Oreochromis niloticus: one gene and its partner. The protein of the gene in region 2 interacts with the protein of the main gene of each other region in a pairwise test. Links are inferred from orthologs where the notes say so. Each region holds a gene or a part of one and is shown on either strand. Other genes may lie near its edges.

What was found.
Region 1: the proteins of nudt18 (region 2) and dut interact in binary tests that used the Homo sapiens proteins (3 or more experiments, as listed by UniProt). The two-hybrid records come from large-scale screens. The link is inferred for Oreochromis niloticus from reciprocal best matches to the Homo sapiens genes NUDT18 and DUT.

The regions. Positions count from the first base shown.
Region 1 is NC_031965.2:12,770,560-12,781,224, forward strand, and holds dut (deoxyuridine 5'-triphosphate nucleotidohydrolase, mitochondrial), read right to left. Parts: upstream 4,999-10,665; 5' UTR 4,930-4,998; coding exon 4,821-4,929; intron 4,326-4,820; coding exon 4,169-4,325; intron 4,009-4,168; coding exon 3,917-4,008; intron 3,748-3,916; coding exon 3,703-3,747; intron 3,608-3,702; coding exon 3,533-3,607; intron 3,019-3,532; coding exon 2,948-3,018; intron 2,251-2,947; coding exon 2,194-2,250; 3' UTR 2,117-2,193; downstream 1-2,116. Other genes in the region: slc12a1 (solute carrier family 12 member 1), read right to left, coding at 8,505-8,640, 8,736-8,803, 8,934-9,069, 9,230-9,316, 9,508-9,619, 9,810-9,938. UniProt on the Homo sapiens protein: Catalyzes the cleavage of 2'-deoxyuridine 5'-triphosphate (dUTP) into 2'-deoxyuridine 5'-monophosphate (dUMP) and inorganic pyrophosphate and through its action efficiently prevents uracil misincorporation into DNA and at the same time provides dUMP, the substrate for de novo thymidylate biosynthesis.
Region 2 is NC_031977.2:38,178,369-38,189,335, reverse strand, and holds the start of nudt18 (8-oxo-dGDP phosphatase NUDT18), read right to left. Parts: upstream 5,240-10,967; 5' UTR 5,103-5,239; intron 5,014-5,102; 5' UTR 5,012-5,013; coding exon 4,841-5,011; intron 4,756-4,840; coding exon 4,645-4,755; intron 1-4,644. Other genes in the region: sdhaf1 (succinate dehydrogenase assembly factor 1, mitochondrial), read left to right, coding at 7,351-7,599; uncharacterized protein LOC100698890, read left to right, coding at 9,308-9,364. UniProt on the Homo sapiens protein: Mediates the hydrolysis of oxidized nucleoside diphosphate derivatives. Hydrolyzes 8-oxo-7,8-dihydroguanine (8-oxo-Gua)-containing deoxyribo- and ribonucleoside diphosphates to the monophosphates. Hydrolyzes 8-oxo-dGDP and 8-oxo-GDP with the same efficiencies.

The DNA.
Region 1 (10,665 bases), on a different chromosome or scaffold from region 2:
CTTCATGTAAAAAAGGAAACAACTTTGTGAAAATCTGTATTAAATGACAGATCTACCAACCGATTACAAGTTATTTCCTTTCATAATGTCTCCAGCTTCTAGTCAGATTTAATTAACACTGATTCACAGATTCACTCTGCTGTGTTTGCACATGACTTTACTCTTGGACATCTTTAGCCTCTAAACTCAGCCAGACCACATTTTCTCTTTGCAGCTAACTGAGACAGAGGTGGTCAGCCTGGCCAGTGTGGACATCGAAGACACTCTCCAGTTCCACCTGAACATCAATGACCTGAGTAACCGCGACCACATCCTTGAGTTTACCCCGGCCTTAAGCACACTGAGCGACCATGTGCGTTACAGCATCGACTACGGAAATGAGGAAGGCTACTTCAAAATCAACCAGAGGGAGGGTGTCAGCTACCTGCACTTGAGCAAGAAGAAGGGCCTCGTGCCAGGTGCATACTACCTTCATATCAGCAGTATGCCCCTGTACAGGAAGAAGGAGCTGGCTTTGCTGGAGGACCAACATGATAAAGACTACCTCACAGGACAGCTGGGAGACATACTGAAGATGAGGGTGCAGATAATCCTCCATTAACCATCACAAGACTGAGAGAGGCAGATGTTGCCAGCAGCTGCTAATCCAGTGTCAAGCTCACAGTCCCCCCTGAAAAAGGCCAAACATTTCTGACTCTGGGTCAGCAGCTAAGGGTTAACGTCTACTCGCTCTAACCGGGAGAAGGGCTCGCCACCAAAGAGACAAGACGGGGGTGGGGGTGGGGGGATGGACTGTTTTGTGTCATTTGATCACCAAAGATGATTCTGCATATCATAGGTACAATTTCTGTGGAAAGTATCCACCGAAGGTGTGAAAGATTCCAGTCGAAATAAAAAGCATATCACCCCGACACACCAGCTGCGTTTAAAGCACTATTGAGGGTGTGGATAGGGTTTGTAATTGTATGGTTTAATCTTGTATAATGATATGTGGAATCGGATGCCACATTGAAGGGCTTGTGGACTGCAGAAAGCTCTAAGGGCCAAGTTTGTTTGTTTTCTTAGAACTCAGCTTAAGTGGCGGGGGGATAAAAAGAAAGAGGCGAGTCCCAATAGTCTGAAATAAATTCATTTCCTCCCCTCAGGTAAATGACTATCAAACCTGGATACACACATTTCTTTGTTTCCCCAAATAAGGCTTAGGAGAGGAGAGGAACCCATTGTGGACTATTGAGATGTAGCTATGTCGGAGCTTGAACGACTCCTACCGCATATTTGAACTATGCTTTTCCATTTTTCCTACTGACTAGAATAATTCATATTTACTGGTGCTAGCAACACATCCACATAGACTTTTGAATGCACTCAGTAGTGAACAAGGCGCAATCCCATTGGCCTTTCTGAAGGTTTCATGTCTTTGCAACAGTAACAGCTAGCTTCATAGCCTGCCTGCTCTCCTCTATACTACATGTAAATTGTGTTTATACTGTAATAATCAATGCCACTTTTAATCTATGAAGCTTTTGTAAACTAGAGGAAGCCCCTGGAATAGAGGGGAAGGGGTTGTAATGGTGCTTATAATGACCAACTACTTCCTTTGTAAACTGTGTATACATACATACAGACACAGACACACACACACACACACACACACACACACACACAAAAAAAACACATTGATGATGCCAAACCTGGGCCTTCATGATTATGCACTGAGGTCTTCATGGCCACATACTCTCTCACAAGTCAAAATCAGTGCTGCATTGCAATGGACCAGCCTGACACCAGTCTGTGTTCCATGTTCACATCAGTGAGGGTTTAGATGTAAATTCACAATAAAAACATTTTTGGAGTACATGTACTCACTGCTGTGCTTCCCCCTTTATCTGAATTGTATTACCATTGTTACCAAGTTGAGCAGGCACCTATATGTCCTCTTTCTGCACACGTTTGTATTAAGTAAAGGGAAGTTACCAAGTCTCTGGCAGATGAAATAGTTTGAGCAGATTACATTCTTGTGTATGACTGCCCCCATGTGGCCATCTGGACGAATAACTTTGTTGAGAATTTATAACTTTAGGAACGCATGGTTTTCAGTCCCAGCAAAACTCTAGACTCAAATATAAAACAAAACTTTATTTCTTATTTTATCGAAGTTATAAGTAACATATTTTAAAAACACATTTGAGGGTTTCAGTTGGTTCCAGTTGATCCAAAACCTCCAGCGCCACGGTCTGTTTCATCGAGTGTCTAAAACAGAAAAAATAAATAAATAAAGGCAAATACTTGGATTTAAAGACTAAAACTAATCTGAAGAAATACACAAGAAAACAAATGTATTATTAAACCTTTATTTCTACATAGTTTTCTTTTTCCTACTCTGAACACTCAAAGCGCTTTATACAACTTGCCTCATTCACCCAAGCACTTTTTCCCCTCTATTCTTTCTACTTAAGATTCACACTCAGATGGATGTACTGGGGAGCAACTTGGGGTTATAATCTTGCTCAAGAATATTTGGTATGAAAACTGGAGCAGGAGCAACTAACGTTCTGATTAGTGGATGACCTGCTCTACCTCCTAAACTACAGCCACCACAAAGTAGTTTTAAAAAGTAGCAATAAACCAGCACTTTAAGTATACTTAGCTGAAATCCTACTAAAACCCCAACCTTAAAGAAGACTAATTTTCTGGTTCTGAAACTCAGAGGATGAGATTCAGCTTTTTGACAATTTCTGTGTCACTTGTAGTGCTGTTCAAGTTCATTTTGTTTCACAGACATAAGCCTACACATCTTTAAGTAGTGTAGCCTATAATAGTTCAAGAGCAACAAAAAATGGCAGCTTCTAATAGCCACACAGCTGAAGCTTCGCATCTTTTCATGACTATCATGAAACATTTATGTTGCACCGGTTTTAATTAGATCTACCCAATAAATTCAATTTACCTCTTGCTCCACCAGATCTGGGTAGCAGATCTTCTCACACACCAGCTGAGCAACTCTGTCGCCCTTTTTCACTGTAAGGTTAAGAGGAAGCAGATGAGATAACCTTTAAATCTGACTGATCGATAAAAGTCTTCATATCAAGTGTTTATGTGTATACTTCCATTATTAAGCTCCAATGAGCTCTGCAATAGGCTGAAAAGTGTCAACAGTAAAAATACTATTTATTTTTTGGCTTAAATTAAATATAAGCAATATAATATATTGGTCTTCAAAGTGAAGCCAATAGCTGACACAATACCCAGTTTTAGTTCTAAAAAGTAAACTGATACAATTTTATGGATAAAGTCGTTCACACAAAATACCAATTTTTTATTTTTTTTTTTAAATCACAAAATTTAGTGATAAATAAAAGCTGATAATTGCATCAATCTTTTAAAGTATCCAAGTCTACTTTTGTACCATACTGCATCTATATTTTCAAGCCATACGTGGAGCGCATGAATGTCATCCCCTAATCTGACTACTTTCATTGGTTACTGTGGTTATGAAAGACTGACAATATACATTATTGTCACCATAACTCACCTTCAAACGTCTCTTTGCCAAAGTTGAACAGCACAACACCCACATTTCCTCTGTAGTCCTCATCTACAACTCCAGCTGAGGAGAACATGCGACACATAAGACAAATTAAGATGTCTGTACACTACTGGGGTTAACTTGCAATGATTAGGTCAGATAGCTAGCTAGCTCACCACCAACATCAATGAAGTGTTTTGCTGCTAGTCCAGATCTTGGTGCTGGGGAGGGAAAAACCACAAAAAGACAGTTACAGATGACCTGGTGTTTTACAACTGGTGCACAAACAGGAAAGCCTAACACGAGTTCACACGACAGGTAACTCAAATAAAATTTTAAACAAAAAAAACCCCAAAACAAATAAAAATTGAATAGCAGAGAGACACTCACCAACTCTCCCATAGCAGCCATGTGGAACTGCTATCTGAATGTCTGTCTTTACAATGGCCTTATCCATAGAAGGAATGGAGTAATCATACGCACTGTTAAGTAAAGACAGTAAAGGTAAGCTTATCTGCATTTTTAAAATAATACTTCAAGTTAAAGGTACAATCAGACTTAAATATACATGCACACACATCAACAGTCACAAATTAGGCGTCTGGTGAACCTAACACAATTTCAGTTTAAAGAGTTACTAACCTGTAAAGGTCATAACCTGCTGCTTTAGCTGAGCCTCTGGTCGGGGTCGTAGCATGCTCAGAAAGTTTAGCAAATTTGAGGACAGGTCTTTCCTCTGCAGGGTGTGTTTCTGTCCTTGTTCTCTTTGATGGAGAAACTGCAGAAGCATTTGTGACTTCTAGGACGGGCATGTTGGCAAAGTATGCAAAATTAAAAACCTACAGTACACTAAAAAAATTAAAACCTACTAAAAACTAAGTTATTGATAATTAAAGGACGACACTACAAACTTCCACCAAGAATCTGCTTCAGTGTATTCCCGGGTCTGCGAGATAATTTGTATGAAATTCCCGCTCTACGTCAAAGTAGTTAACGCGAGTTTTCTCGCGAGAGTTACTAATATAAACATTTCGAACTTCCGGTGGAAGAATATATCAGCCTACAAAAACAAAAAGGAAATCGTTGACATAAGCCTTATACATTATATATCCGAACAAAACAGAAGGACTGTTTAGCTTACGTGGTTCGAACACGGCAAACAAGAAAGAAAACAACACGAGCAAACCAAAGCAGACAGTTACAAAACGTTAGACAGGCTAGCAAAGCTAACGCCATTAAGCACTTCCTGGCGTGTCGGTCATGGCGGTGTTATCGCTTTTAATTTCTTGCTTGCCTTTAGTTTTAGTTGTCATTTGAAAGTGCAGTTCTTTACCCAAGAAACGTGGAGCAGCGTTAAAAACCCACGAGCATAGCTGAAAGTCCTTTAGCAGCATTCGGGCCATACTGTTAATAATGTCGTTTGGCAGGTTTCTCAGGTTCACCAACGCCGCACTCCCCCCCCCCGCTGTGTCTCGGAGCGGCTCTAAGCTTCAGCAGCCTATAAAATACGCAAACGATTTTATAGGCTACAACCAAGGAACGAAACACGATTTATGTACTCTTCGTCGTATCGACTCGCAACCCATTCTGTTTGATAGGGTATGTTCTTAAATATTAATTTAATTTGCTGTCACAGCACACGGGGGTAGTTCAAATCGTCAGCACCGAGATGTGGCAGCACACGGGGGTGGTTCAAATCGTGGCATCAGCACCGAGATGTGGCAGCACACGGGGGTAGTTCAAATCGTGGCATCAGCACCGAGATGTGGCATCATCCCAAAATGCTGCTGTGCTGTCATCTCCAAATAGCAGGACATCCTCTCCGACTCCATATGCCACAGCATGACCCCTAAATGCCGTTGCAGGTCACAGCATCTGAACGTGCTGGTATCACGATTTAAATCAGAATCAAAATATTTTATTAATCGCCAAGGAAATAATGTGGTTAAGTAATAATGTGGGTAAGACAATAACAGTAACAAACTGAACTAAATTTAATAATGTAAAAAGATCATGTGCAAAAGGGTGTAACTATTGCACTGTGTAGTGTGCATTAGATGGGCAGGATTGATTTCCTGCGTCGTTCTTTGGTGCATTTGGGTAATTTCAGTCTTTCACTGAATATTCTGCTCTGACTGGCCAGCACGTCATGGCGAAGGTGGGAGGTATTATCCTGCATTGTCCTTATATTGGACAACATCCCCCTCTCCGACACCACCTTAAGGGAGTCCAGCTCCATCCCCACAGCATTACTGGCCTTGCAGATCAGTTTTATTGAGTCGATTGGCATATGCGACCCTCAACCTGCGGGTGGTACTGACCACAATAGCATAGAGGATGGTACTGACCACAACAGACTTGTAAAAAATCCTGAGCATTGTCTGACAGATTTTAAAAGACCTCAGCACCTCAGAAAATAGAGGCAACTCTGGCTCTTCTTGTAGGCGGGGCGGGGCTGGTAAGCGAACTGAAGGGGATCCTGATGTGGCCTGACAATAGGTCGGAGTTGGTCAAGGATGAGTCTTTCCAGGGTCTTCATGACATGGCAGCCAGCTCTCTCTCCATCACAGTGCAGATCTCTCTTAATTGTGTTAAAGTCTCGAGCCAACCCTCATTTCTTTATATTTTGCTAGCAAAATGGGACATACAGATGCAGTAATTTATATACTGCGAGCCAGAGAGTGATATAGATATATATTTATATCTGTAAAACAGGTTTTATACAATTCTAGCAACCTTGAAATTCAACATTTTTTTATGATCACCTTGATTCGTCAACACAGCCTGAACTCTTCAGGCATCTTGAAGCTGTTTTTTGGAAACAGCTTCGCTCTGTTCTCTGGAAAGATGATTCCGCGCTGCTTAAGTAAAGTTAAGGTCCAGGATCTGGTGAGGCCAATCCATGACCAGTGGTGCTGTTTTTCTATCTAGGTATGCTTTTACTGGATTGGCCATGTGTTTGGGATTTTTGTCATATTTAAAAATTAAGCTATTGGCAATCAGATGCTTTCCAGATGGTACTACATAGTGGCTCAAAATCAGATTTTTCTTGGTTCTTGAGTGTATCGATTTTGACAGGATCCCATACATCACAGGCTGAAATGCAGTCCCAAACCACAGCCTACAGATGGCTGTAGACACTCAGTGTTGGACTCCTTGCCTTCTCTGTATACATTGATGATTTGAACCAAAAGTGTCAAATTTTTTTCTTCCCTCCATAAGACCTGGTACTACTGATTTGCCCTTGTGTCATTTGGCATACCTCCACCTGTTCTCTCTGTTCTCAACTGAAAGGCCAGATGCAGCTCTCATATTCTGGGTCAGCTCTTTAGGAATTAAGTTGTCTTTTACAGTATGTGTCGACACAACAGCCTTTTTTTAATGCTTGAATGATTCATAGATCACTGTTAAACAACTTAAACAAACAAACAAAAACATGGTCAGGTACAAGGACTGGCCTGAAAATGAGTGAAAAAACAGCCGATGTTCAAAGATCATACTCAGAGTATCTATAACCCTTTATCTGAGAACAGAGTTGAATTTTAAGATTTTCTCCCTTGAATATCACCATCAGTCAAAAAGTTTCTGTTGGATTACAAATTTTAGCTCTGTCTGTGGGTTTAAAGTGGTTAAAAGGGGATTCACATTCAGTGTAATATATTCATAGACACATAATATGATCAGGGAGTTGTGGCCCAATACTGACAGGTTATGCCTGTATAGGTGTGTTTTTTTGTTTTCTGCAAAATTTTCTGCAAAATTTCAGCTACAGCAATTAAAATAATAGTTTTAGAGTGAGCTAAATTATGTTTGAACTCTGTATCGTTGATGTGACACAACAGATAGACACTGGGTTATGGCTACTGCCAACGGTAAAGGTCGTCTTATTTGCTGATAGGGAAGGCTGATCTTGATTTGGCTGATATGTAGGTGGCATGTGCAGCTTTACTTTTAACCCAAAAGATCTTTTATGGTTTGCAATAAATAAATGTGTCTGATGAACATCATCATTATTAAACCTTAGGTTCTGCTGACTACTTTCAAAGTGTGCAGACTTTTTATTCCCAGTGTTCCAAACTATATATAACCATAATCATCAAAAAATGAGAAAATATCCAAATGAAGTCTGTAAGGTGCCAAGTAAGATACTATACATTTAAAATGAATAGACATCTAAATTATATGCTGCGGCAAATACCCCATTTCCCCCTCCACTGACACATTTCTGTGGACTAAGAACATCTGACACTATAAATAAATATAATATATTCACATAAGAAGACATCACAAATGTTTTTAATCTTTATTTCAGCTGATTAACATTATGTGCTTAAATAGATAGACTAAAATAGGAAGGGTAAAATTTACAGAATAATCTGATTTATAATGTTCTACCTTATTCTGTTGCCCTTAAAAAGTGTACTATGAAAGTAACATGAAAAATATTGAAAAAATGTCACGTGAAAGGTAAACATCTGTATAATGGCAGCAGTGTATTTTACACAGTGAATATAACAAGTGTTTAAAAAAAGAACTGATAATAAAGTTGCCAATAACAAGATGTTGATCATTTCTAGAATACACACATCTACTATATACAATTATTTTACAGTCACATTCAGTATGACCATTGCACAGCCGTGGTTGTGTCTCTGCCTTTGTTTATGAACTGATTTGAATTGATTTGACTATGTGTTCTTCTAAGCTGCTAAATTCATATTCAGACACATTCACATTTACAAATTCAATTTCGGAAATACAGACTTGTTGCATGTGTGTGTGTCCTTTCTTAGAGGGCATTAGACTTTTGATGTATCATTTGACACATACATGCTTTCAACTGGAGTTATCCACAAATGCTTGATTGTGTTACACTTTTCTGCCGGCCATTTTATTTAAACATGGCTTGTCATTATGGCAACACCATTCCTTTTCCTTTCTAGCTATATCACACTCGGATTGTTAGCATGGAAAGTGCTCAAGAGTAGAAAGTGAGCACGCTCTTGTGGTTGCCTCTAATGAGCAGGGTGGGTGGAAGGTCCTTTGTCAGAATGTCCAGCCAGGCCATGTAGAGGAAATCAGAGATCGTTTCTTTACGAGCTATTGGCATGCTCCTACAGGGGGTCAACAGTGTAAACAAATATGTTAGACATTGTTCTTTCAACACTGGATTATGCTTGGTAGTGTTATTCAGACAATATATACTTACACAATGATTAAATTGGCTGATCTGGAGTGTTCCTTGAGGAGCTCATTCAGTCGTACCTGGAGGTGTGTCTGTAACAAAAGCGACAGTTATTTTTTTTAACAATACATTTTTTATTTTGTTTATATTGATATGAAGATAATACATGATATCTTCACTGTAGCCTGTGTAAGGTTATTACTTAGTGTCAGTGGTTTTTACCTTCTCCTCAAACTGGCTTAGCTCTTTGTCGGTGATCTTCCAGGGCTGCTCTTTCTGCAAGGCTCTAATCTGATCAGGGTCTTTGGACCCTTCATGCAGACGGAAAGGCTCAATCATCTCCTGTAACTCCTTCAAGCTGGACAAATGCAAATAGGAACATGAGCTTTCTCTATAAATGTTCTTTTTCTCCCCTAAACCTGTAGCATGCTGATATTACAATGTGATTAATTTTTACTATTACTACTTCAGCATCTGGTTCGCTGTTCCTTGTGCATGTGAAAAGAAATGGCAGTTACCTTTCAGACCTGGGCTTGGTATGTAGGTCATCAAAGACATTAATGTCACTGCAGTTAATTCTAAACTTCTTCAGCAAGCCCTTCATCCTGCAAGTCAAATCACCATGCACTGATTAGCTTTCATATAAATGTACTTCATTATTTTGGTGTTAATGCTAAATAGCATTCCAGTAACGTTAGCAGCACATGAATTTTCATATCTTGCCAATTAATGTATCCAATCTAACTTCCACATATTAAACTGCAATTGATATTGAAATATTAATTAGTTTACTTACTCCTCCTTATCCAGATCACTGCGTCCAGGCTGTCCTGCGATGAAGATCCTCATTTTGCAGTCTTTCCACTTCTTCCTGGTAGTGAGGATGTAGGGGAGGAGCAGTGTAAGACCTGAGAGAAGAGAAGCACATTTTTTATTTATTGCTCCATGTTGCATCTTTCAGAGACTACTACTTTTTAAAGATTTGGCTTGTTTCATATATTTTTGTCTCCAGTGATATCGAGGAGAATGTTATGGATTTGTGTGCACCTATCTGTTACGAACTTCAGGCAGTGTTCATAAAAATGAGCCAAGAATTACCTCCATCATCAAACAGCCACCACACATCAATGTTGCCTTTGGGCTGTTTCTTCTTGAACTGAAGACTGGCTTCCAACAGCTTCTCATTCATTTTGGCAACCTGTGGCGGTGCAGAGCCACACACCGACACTGGGAGAGAGAAAGAAAGGGAGAAAGATATGAGAGCAACAGCAGGAGGGAATATAATTCACTGTAAAGTCGGATATGAAAACTATCACAAACCAACATTAAGAGATGACTCTACATCACCAGAAATGGCCGTCTCTCAAGTTTAATGCTCCAATGAGTAGGGTGCATTTTGTATACTAATGACTGCCTTGTCTTGCTGTCTTGCCAAGATGCAGCTCAGGGATGAGTGTGTGTTGGCATGTGCGTGTGCGTGTGAAACAGAGAAAGATTGAGCTACAGGCTGCAAGCACCCTCTGCTGTCTGGGTTAAAGGAACATTCTTAAAAGATGCTCTTCAAAGTGGACGAAAAGGAGTGTATTATTGGATTACAGCGTCAGAGGCCTCTTTAGTGGGAATGGCCGATTCAATTATGTCTCAGTGTGAGTATGACCCCCCCCCCAAAAAAAAGAGAGTCATTGGTTTCATTTATTAAATGTAAGCTATTTGAGTCTGTGTGTGGAGGAGACTGAAAAAGAGAAACGTGCTTCCACATATTAAGAGATCACATCCATCTTTTGATGCAACTTTTTCTTTAACCCTTTCATGCATAGTGGTCACTACAGTGGGCAGCTATTCAAAGGCTGTTTTCTTGTATTTGTGTCAATGTTGATGGTTTACTTGCACATAAACCACTACATTAGACACTGATGTGTCACTCCATCCCCTGCCACCCTCTGGTCGTTTAATG
Region 2 (10,967 bases):
GTCCCTTCTAATGATGGCCTTAAAAAACTACAAATTTTATTTAAGTTCCATAAAGCTTCATGTCATCTCCCAAATATCATCTTTAATGAAAGAAAACACTGAAACGGACTTCCGCTTTGAACGTCACCGTGATGGCGGCGCTGTGAGCGAGCTCCTGAGGGAACCTACAAAACTGAAAATCTAACCCCACTAAGACGACGCACATTTGTCCCTCGAGGTGAATAAAGAAGGGGGTGAGCGAAATACACCAAACCAATACTCTGAGGTGGCAATAAAGTGGTAGTTTAACGGTGGGAAAATAATGCTAGCTTCCAGGCTAATACTTTTCACCTCTCACTGCAAACCTGCTGCCGCACACTGTGATCCAACCCCAGCAAGCAACGGCTGAAATATGGCTGACTTGGACACTGTGTTACAGGAAATAAAAGACTTTCGCCAAGAAAACAGTGCAAAACTGGGGAGATGAAGGAAGAAATCCTAAAGGTGAGCGCCAGACTGGACGAGGCTGAGGGGAGGATCGAGAGCACCGAGGTTGCCATGATTGAAAAAATAAAGCTACAGGTGAAGGTGGAGGACAAACTGACAGACCTACAGAGCCTTTATGCTGTACCCGCGACAGCAGAGCGGGCTCTACAACAATGAGTGAGTTTGTTGAGAAGTTGCCGCGGGAAGGCCTGGGCTGTCCCAAGATAAACTTGACGTACGCATCGAACGGGCGCACCACCCCCAGGCGACGCTCCCCTGCGATCTATTATTGTGAAATTCCTCAGCTTCAAAACAAAGGAACTGCTGCTTCGTAAGGCATGGCAGAACAGAGGATTTACCTCCAACCACGTGAGTTTGGACCATGACTAACCCCCCGATTCTAAAAAAACCAAGAGAATACGCCAACGCGTGCAAGACTCTGAAAGAGCAGCAGATCCCCTCCAGCTTAGCTAAGGTGAAATATACCGATAAACAAAGATTTACAACACAGCGGTGGAAGCCATTAAGGACATGTCCAGTAGAGGCTACGCTGTGAAGATCGTTAAATCATCAGAAACAGCTTGTTTACAGAACCATCAGTGGATCAGGCAGAGACAGTAAGAACGGCAGGAGGGGACCAGAGAGTAGCACTGTTCACCGACGACCTACTACATCCTGTCCCACACAGGCACTCCCCAAAATCATGGAAATGCTCTCAGAGTTTCTCAGGATACAAGGTTAATGTAAACAAAACGCAGGTACTAACTCTAAACTACGATCCACCAATCGAAATTAAGAATCGCTGGAAATGGAAATTAGGTACGTAGGGGTGGTAATACATCGTGATGTCACCAAAATGTTTGATGCCAACTATGGTCCTGTGAATGAATCCATAAAATCTGATATAATGGAATACCATCCCTAATTGGACCTACACTCTAGGATTGAATCCATTAGATTAAACATGCTGCATTTGTTTCAGTCGTTACAGATTCCCACACCACAAAAAGGCCATTGATATGTCTCTGTTGTTTAGATTACACTGTGGGATGGAAAGATCTGGAAGGAACAAATGTTAAAGTAATACCAGCTACAGCTTTAATATCAGACACAAAGCTACAGAACAAAACAAACCTGCCAGATGAACCCATCCTACAAGTAATGATATCTGCTTGGAGTGAAGCAATAAGAATTTGTGGTTTGAAAATGCCTCTAAAGTCTTTAGATGGAGCATATATGACTCAGACTTTACCCTGAATCAGTGCGATAAGAGCTTCAGGAACTGGATTCCAAAAGGCCTAACTAATTATTATCATCTGTCCACAAGGGGGCGTTTCAAAGCTTTGAAACCTTAAGGAGAAAATATGATTTAAGCTCAGACGATTTCTTCAGATATCTACAGGTCAGAAATTATTTTAATCAAGACCTGAAAGTGAATATAAACAATCTACGATTTGTAGTAACATTTGTATCATTAACTAATTCTGGAGCACACAATAAAATCATTTCCAGATTATACAACAGCATCCTGTGTAAAAACAAAAGCACTGTTTGTTAAAGTGAAGTGGGGGAAAAAAGCTAACCTGACCATTTCAGAGGAGTGCTGGGACCACATATGCATACAGTGGACTACCACTGTTGTTTGGCGTGAATTTTGCTGGAAAAGCATCATGAGATTCTTCATCCCCCTGCTCAGAAAAGGTATCTGGGAACTGGTGACACTTGTTGGAGATGTGGAGGAGATGGTGCTAACCATTTCCATAATTCCTGGGACTGCCGGATGTGAGTAAACAGGCCCTCACGAGGAGATGGTTCAAGCCTGACTGAAGACTGGATATATTCTGTAGAAGACATCTATACCATGGAAAAACTGTCTTTCTCTCTCAAAGTGCAGACGGATACCTTCTACAGAATATGTTTGAGCCTGTGAGGTGGGATTTTCTATCAAGCCTGCCACTTTTATGCTCGTGCACTGATTGAAATACCCATGCTAATAACGCGAAGCTAACTTGGCTACCCCACTACCCCCAACCCAAGTTCTTACGGGGGGGGTTTTCAACTATAAGTTTACAAATCTGAAAGCAAAAGCAATGTAGAGAGTCATACTACTGTTATGTTCAATGTACTTTCTTACAGTTTTTTCTGAATGCTTAAACCCTAACTGTGATTCTTATAGCACAATTTCTAAAACTATTAATACTTATGGCAAAACCACTCACTGAGTTTGCAAAACTAAAAGCACAAACACTGCTTTGCACTCAGTTTGCCATTTTGTAACACACACTTTGCAAACCTGTAGCTACAATCCACTGCACAGCACTCTTTTTGCAGAACTGTAAACACACAACTCACGGCTTTACACTCAATTTCCAAATGATCAACACACTCCTAGCAAAACTTTACACATTTATAGCCATTATTTACACTATTTTGCCAACTGTCTGGCACACTGTCACATGTGAAAACTTTTTTAGATCATTAGATCACTTTGCAATCAGCCTAAGCACTTTAAATAAGCTACAGGTAAGCTCTGTGTGTGTGGAGTACAATGGAGGGAGCAGGAAGAGTGAGAATTAGAGGAGGCCAACGGGTTCAGCCTAACTCGAGCCGCTACACTGTAGCAAGCATCATAAGGACATTTTGAAATGAGAGTCGGTTAGTACAGTCACTTTGCACTAAGATCTGTAGCACTGCCATGCTAATGAGAAACACAACAATACCATAGATGTAAAAATACTGAAATTGTTACTTTACAGAATTGCTAGACGACCAGATGCTGGGAGCAGAGGAAGCATGTTCACTGCAGACCAAGAAACCCATATAGTCAATATGGTGATTGGAAATAATCCTATACTTGGAAATAAACACTTGTGTTTGTTTTGATGTGTGTGAATAAACAGCAGTACTTGAAGTTTGGATCCCTCTATGCTTACGGATCTATGACAAAAGTATGAGCTCAATCTGACATAGCCTACCTTGTGCACAGAGAAAGCAAAAGCCAGATGTGTTTTCATTCATACCATCAGTGTGTAGTTGGTGCATTGTGTGCTTATTAATATGATGGCTTGTGTTAACTGTTGGATACGAAAATACCATTTTTACAAAGGTGTGGAGAGTTAAGCAAAGGTTATTCGCTTTTACAAGGAAACTACAATGTTTTGCTGATTGGGTGAAGAGTTTTCTTATTTGTGTGTAGAGTTTTGCAAAAATAGCCAATAGTTACAAAAAATGTGCTTAAGCCATCAGAAAAAACTGTAATAAAAGAGTTTTTTTTTAAAAAAGAAAAAACTGAAACACCAAAACCTGCAGTTCCTCTAACGTCCACCTGGGGCTCCACCAGCGAGTTATTCCCATAGACTCCAATGTTAAAAAGGTTCAAAACAAGCAAAGCCTCTGATTATGATTTTTCAGACATTTTATTGATATACAAAAAACAAACATGTTCACACAGGTGACATAACACTGATGTTAAAGCCAGATCACTCCTCCTCCTCGCCCCCTGATCTCTGTAAAGCAGTGTTGTTCTGTCAGGGCAAGCAAGGAAGGCGGTGCTTACCCAATGAAAAAACAAACTGTTATTTCAGTATTTTGACTTTTTCAACCTTAAGTGACCGTATTTGGCATATCTTGGTTAGAAAGTTGGCAAGCTGCATTCACAGAGCTTATGCAAACATCACACAAACACATATCTGCTAATCAGTGCTCAGTAATATCTGAACTGTAGCTCCGCCTCCTTGGATGCTCTGTTTTAACAGTGACCTCACAGCAGGCATATTATTGGTCACATGATGTCATTAAAAAGCTCCAAAAGGGTCCAACAGCACAAACAGGGTCCAGGGGTCCAGTTCAGGGACTCCCATTAGTTAAGGTGAAGCCTAGCAGACAGCTAGCTGCTACAGCCACCTGTACCACCATCTACCTGTCAGTCAAAGAGGCCACGCCTCTAATAATGCAAACTTTAAGCCTGAATACAATTTGAACAGGTGAGTAATAGAAACGCTCTTCCGTGTACAGCTGTTATGAAGGAGTATATGATCCACAGAGACCAAACTGTTTGTGTATCAGGCTGTAAACAGGTTTGTTTTAACATGGGAGTCTATGGGGCCTGACTCGCTGCTCCCCCTGCTGGACGCTGGAGGAGCTGCAGCTTCTTACTCTTACAGGCTCCTCCTCACTCACCTCCCTCTTCATCGCCTCCTCCAGGCTCTCCCCCACCTCCACCCTCCCAGCAGGAAGATACCACTGTTTGTAACAGTCCGGTTTGGCCTCCTGGACCATCAGCACCTCCTCCTGAAGGAGTGTTAATTAATTAAATAAGCAATCATTTAAGGGTATTGATGAGACGGAGTGGCTACCTGTGGTGACCTCTGTTCACCTTCTCATTGAAGATGACAGCACAGACGATGTAGGTGACGTTCTTCCTCAGGGTGGCGGGTTTGCTCTGCTCCAGGCCCACATCACACACAGTGACCTCTGACCCCTGCCCACTTAAAAGCCTCTCCACCTGCTCCTCCACCTGCTGCTGTTCCTCAGCTGTCATCTCCATGTCTGTAAGAGGAAGAACAGAGAGCGTCTTCATCAGCTAAAAAAAACACCGCAGAGCTCGAGGCTGTGATTGCAAGCGCGCGGAGGCTCACCTGTGATCCAGGTGTGGTGTTTCTGGTGTCTACCAGGTGTGACAGACGCTGGGAGAGCTTCCTCTCTTACTGTCGGATCTGAATCCTGAAAACTGTAGTTCACTAAAAGTACTTCGTTACTTTCTCCGCAGGTACCGGCGTCATAAATCGCCGAAGCCTTCCCCCCGGAAACAGATGCCGGTGATAAAAGCACGAGCCCCCCTCCTTCAGCTCGCCTGTCTTGACATTTGACTCCAGAAGGTGACACCGGAAGTGCTACTAATCTTCCTGTTCCGCGCCGCCGCAGTAAGAGCTTTTAACCCACTCGAACAGCCCCCCCCCCACGGGCGCTTTGGACGGTCCAGATTCAGATAAACACATCAGAAGGTAACTGAGCTCTAACCAATCAGGAGCAGCGTTCTTAAAACGGGTATGAGCTTTAATTTGTCTGTGTGCGTGCTTTATTGTGAAAATCTGACCCGGAAATCACGTGTTTTGTAGTTTGTCCTGGTCGTTGCGGCTGAGGCCGGTGTTATAACGCAGTAAGGTCACAGAGGAGCTGCTCACAGAGAGCCGGGAGACGTACCTGTGACGGTGGAATAGGACAAACAGGTGAAGCAGCGGAGCCGGTCCGAACCGGTCTGAGCGGAACTCCGTCAGGTAAACAGGAAGTTGAACTGATCGCTCTCACTGATCAATCCTCTGAGGTCCAGCAGCCGCTGGTGTTGTGCCAAAGACTGATTTCCAATGTTTCCGTGTATTTTTTATGTGTAATATCTTTACGTATGTTGGTAAATAGACTTCGGTGAACAGCGTTTACAAAGGGGTTTTATATAGAATTAAAATATTATCTGTTTTTCAAGTATCTTTACAACTCTGTGTTATTGTACTTACATTATAACCAATCCGCTCCTTTATCCCCACTTAAAATATTTTTACAGAACTATTGTAATATTTGCTGCCATCTCTGCTGTCCTGTTGGCCAACTTACTCTTACAAAAGACATTTTTAATGTTAATGAGATTCTTTTTAACTGCATAAATAAAGGTTATATAAAAGTCACTGGCAAAAACTGACTGCAGCTTCTACCTTGGTACACAAATGTTGTTTGTGGCTCCAGATGACTTTATGTCATCCATGAGGGATGCATTTGACATATGTTTCACATATTATAGCCCAACAAGTTACTTATAGCAGTTTAAATACGAGCAATCAGTTTTTGGCAAATACCGGCTGTGGGTTACTTTCATAAGCCATAGCTACTGGTAATACTGCGTGTAGTACTATAATATAAGTAATGCTAATACTACTGTATGTGTTACTGTAAAAACTGTTACTCAGGAGGGTCAAAGGATGGGCATCCAATCAGAATCCAAAGATCACTTATTCATGTTATTTTAGCTGAAATGTGTTTTAGCGAGAGACAGACACACCTAAACTCTGTTGTTGTTATAACGTGTGCCAGGTGAGTTCAATTATCACAGAAACCAATCAGGGATGAGAAAATCAGGAGAGGCAGTCAGGTAAAAAAAAAAAAGTACGGAGGAAGAGTCTTTACTGAAATAAAAACGTGCTTTTACGTGCAGGTCGACACCTGTGTGAACAGTCTGGGCTCACGTGCACGTTCATGCTTGTGCAGGAATATGAAACACACATAAGTACAGCTGTGTTTGTGTTGTTAGATCTGTGCCTTTGTTAAAGATCAGAAACAGCGAGAGCCAAAAACGTGTTCCTTCATCAGAACTCCAGTGAATGCATTCTGAATAAAAACAAGCAGGTAAAAGGAGAAGATTTGTTATATTCAGTCTGGCTCAGGGGAAACTGTGCTGCTGTTGACCGAAGTCCGAGGAGGAGAGGAGGAAGGCATGTTAGGAGGCTGAGAGAGAGAACATGAGATAAAGAAGGATTATTTTGAACTTTGATTGATGCAAAGCTGTTCTTGCAGGATTCAAATGTGGAGCTGCAGGTGAGCAGATGCCTTCTGTCGTGTCTTCAAGGTGTCAGTTTCTCCTGTGGGAGAATAAAACTAGCGACCGTGACGTGATGAATCTGCCTGAATGCTGTTTTGTTGTTCGGTTCTCTTTGTGTTCTTCCTGCAGGCAAACATCTTCTTTAAGACCCTGAATGAGAAGAAACGGGTGAAGCTGAGCCTCGTGGTGTGTTCAGAGTGGACGTGTGAGGGAGTGCAGCCGGAGACACGCCGGTGTTGGAGCGTCATGTGTGCGTAGCTGCCCTCTGATTGGACTCTTGTCTCTGCTGACTCGGTCTGATGTTGCGGCACAGTAAGCTGCAGAAGCAGGTCCTCGCTCTGTACCGGCAGTTCCTGCGAGCCGGGCGGGACAAACCGGGCTTCGTCCCCCGAATCCGCGACGAGTTCAGAGAGAACTCCCGCATCAAGAAGACGGACGTGATGCACATCGAGTATCTGTACCGACGGGGCCAGCGGCAGCTGGAGCAGCTGAGGGACGTCAACACCAAACAGCTGGGCTCCTTCTCCAAACCCAAAGAGTGCGGCTGAAACCGTGTGACCTCTGAATCGCACTGCCGTACCTCTGAAAGACGCCGGCGCCATCAAACTGCTGCCATCGTGCTCAGGAGACGGGCTATGAAGGCCGCAGCAGCGATAGAAGCTGCAGTGAAACAAATGTTGACAGTAATGAATTTTATCTGATGTCTGTAACAATAAAACGTGTCTGTGATGAAGACGAACTCATATTCTTCATATTCATGTTTAAGAAACTCAAAACCATCAGAGTTAATCTGTTAATGTGTTGATGACGGTCAGGCTTCATGTCTCCCTCTGAAATATCATTCATATTGTTCTTCATGCGTCTGCACTGCATTCTGGGTAGATGAAGAGTCATGTGACTATTTTTTTTTTTCAGGAATTAAAAAGAAAATTAAAAAGTTTGTTTCCAGGGGAACTGAAACGAGGGAAATCAGGTGTTTTAGTTTTTACACAGAAAATTGTTTAAAGGAGCTTAAATGGAGTCAGAGCAGGAGTGGGTTTAAAAAATCAGTCGATTTTAGTTTGAAGAAAGTGATTTCGATGCATTAAATCCTGAATCGATTTTTAAATGTAAATGTATTTTGCTAGAAACGCTAAAATCTCAGGTTAAATCTCACAAAACTATTTCAACAACCAGCAAACAGCCAAAACGGTAAACGAGAGCCGAAACATGTAAACAGAGAGCGTGGATCATTCACCTGACGTCACGGACGCGCCGTCAGGGCTGAAGAACGAAAGCTCAGTGATTCTGATGCTGCAGGTTTTGTCTCTCCAACCAAAATTCACTGAACCTGCAGAAAAAGAAGCTCCGAACTACGCTTCACACTTGATAAACATGCTCATTAACTCCCTCTGACTTTGGCTGTTTTACTTCCTGCACAGCTCTCTCTCTCTCAGTGCACTCAGAGTCAGTTTTACCATCAAATCTCTGTTTTCTGCATTATTCTCTGCTTATTACGCACCAGCCTGCTGCTGTGCTCAGTGCTGTCCGCCTCTGACAGTAAAGCCTCATTTCTGCTGTTCAAATTGAAGAAATGTAAACTTTTACAAAATGATTGCTCAGCTGTGTCTGTAATCAAACCTCTGTGACTTTGCATCAGGTCATGTTCACATGTTCATTCACGGTTTTCTTCTGTTTTGGATCTACTGCAGAATATTTTAAGGTTATCTGCTATAAAAAGTCAGGCCAGGAAAATCTGCTTCGTGATTTTCTGTTTTATCCTCAGTTACTGTGACACAAAGGCCTCTGCTGTGATGCTCACACCTCTGATGGAGTCTCACAGTGTCAGCTTTGGTTTATACATAGATATAAAAATATGGAGATGAACTGATAAATAATCAGAATTAGAATATTTCTGACTGTCTGAGTCAAAACTGAACTGAATAGATTATAGAAATGGAAATCGATACCCGGCGCTCAGTCGGAGCTCTGCAGCAAACACGCGGAGACAGCACGCGAACGGAAGCAGCGTTTAGTTTGACACATGTGTCGCTGTGGAGCCGCCGAGCTGCTTCTAAAGCGACGAAGAAGAAGTGATGTAAACAGGAAGTTGGGCACGTACGTCCACAAAAACTGTCGTGTCGAATATGTGGATAAATATGAAATTCAGCAAAAGCTGTTGAATACAGAGGAACTGCCGAAGTTTGCTTTAGTTTAATCTCGGGACGTTTTTCTTAGTTTGGGGATTTTTCGCTGTTTTTGGGCCGTTTTCCGGTCATGTCCGGGTCAGTGAACCCCACAGGAGAGATGAGCAACGCGCAGTTATTCCAGCAGGTAAATCAATTTATTCTGTTGTAAAATAAATGAAATGTAAACTTTTATCACAGCGTGTGTCACGGTGAATTAGGCGTGGCTGAAACGGTCCAATCAAAACGAACAAAAAGACTTTTAATAAGAACAAAGACAATTTGATTATTCAGGAATCTTTATAGGTTTCTGTGAAGGTTCTCAGTCATCCAGCTCATCGTAGTCTCAGGAGCCTGGAAAGAAAAGCGTCTGGACTTAATCAGAGAAGCTTCTTCAGTTCCAAGAACAATTGGTCCCACATTTGAAACCCCGTGGGAGGGTCCCTAACAGGGTCATGGACCTTGTAATCTTTACAGGTGCAGGCTCACAGGAACATCAAACTATCAACAGAGTCAAATTAAAATCTAACTCAGCTGAAAGGAAATACACAAATACTCCTGAAGACACAGGTACACCTGAGTACACCTGCAGCCCTGCAGGTGTATTCAGGTGTTATCCTGTCCCACTTCCTTTACCGCGGTCAAGTGAGCCGTCATTTGTGACCCGCGGTCAAGCCATCCGCTTCTTATGTATTATTGTTGTGTAAAAACACAACAATAATACAAAGAAAAGCCCAACAATTTAATTACCCCATATAAGCTAACATTTAGTGAGAGTGGGAAGGAAAAACTCCATTTGAAGAGGTAGAAACATCTGGCAGAAACAGGCTCAAGGAGAGACAGCCATCGACTGTGACTGACTGAGGTTGGTGGAAATGAGACAGGACAACATATACACTGTGCAAGAGAGCAAGAGATACATACTAACTAATGATTAAATGCAGAGAGGTGTATAAACACAGATCGAGCAAAGAAGGAAAAAATTCATACATCACGGGAAGCCCGCAAGAGCCGAGGCTTATTGCAGCACAAATAAGGGAAGATTCAGGGTCACCTGATCCACTCTGACTGTATTATTTGTCAAGACTGAAGGTTTTAATGCTAATAACAAGAGCAGAGACGGGTGTTTGTCTTCTGAATTAATATTGTGAGCTGCATCCACAGAAGAGAGGCCTGAGAGATGAAGACTCTGATTCCCGTTCAACCTTAAAATTCTATAGGAACCACAAGTACACCTGATATTCCAAAATTAAAATCTGGATTTCAAAGCAAGTCAGTGAAGACAAGCAAATATGGCTGAAATATGCTGTCATGACTCTCTCAGCAACACTTTTGATCCATTAATATTAAACAATAATTGATGCAGCGGATTGAGATGAAACCTGGCCCAGAGGTACAGTAGGTGTCCCAGAGGAAGAATGTGTTGAAAGCTTGGCATCAACTATTAAGGAAGATTTTTAATGAATTTTTGAATATGCAACCCGACTGTCCCGCTTTGGGATGTCCCAAAGCATTGTATGCATGCGTGTGCATGTCTGAGTCCGCGCGCGTGCACGTGTCACTGCTTGCGCGTGTACTTGTGCGCAGGTCTATGCTTTCGATCAGGAAATAAGGAGAAAAGGCGCTGCCGTAAATGCCGGTGTAGAAGCGCAAGAAAATTAATGCGACGGAAAAGAGGCGGCTGGCTTGACTGCGGCTCACAAATGACGGCTCACTTGACCGCGGTACTTCCTTTCACACAGGCAGCAGGT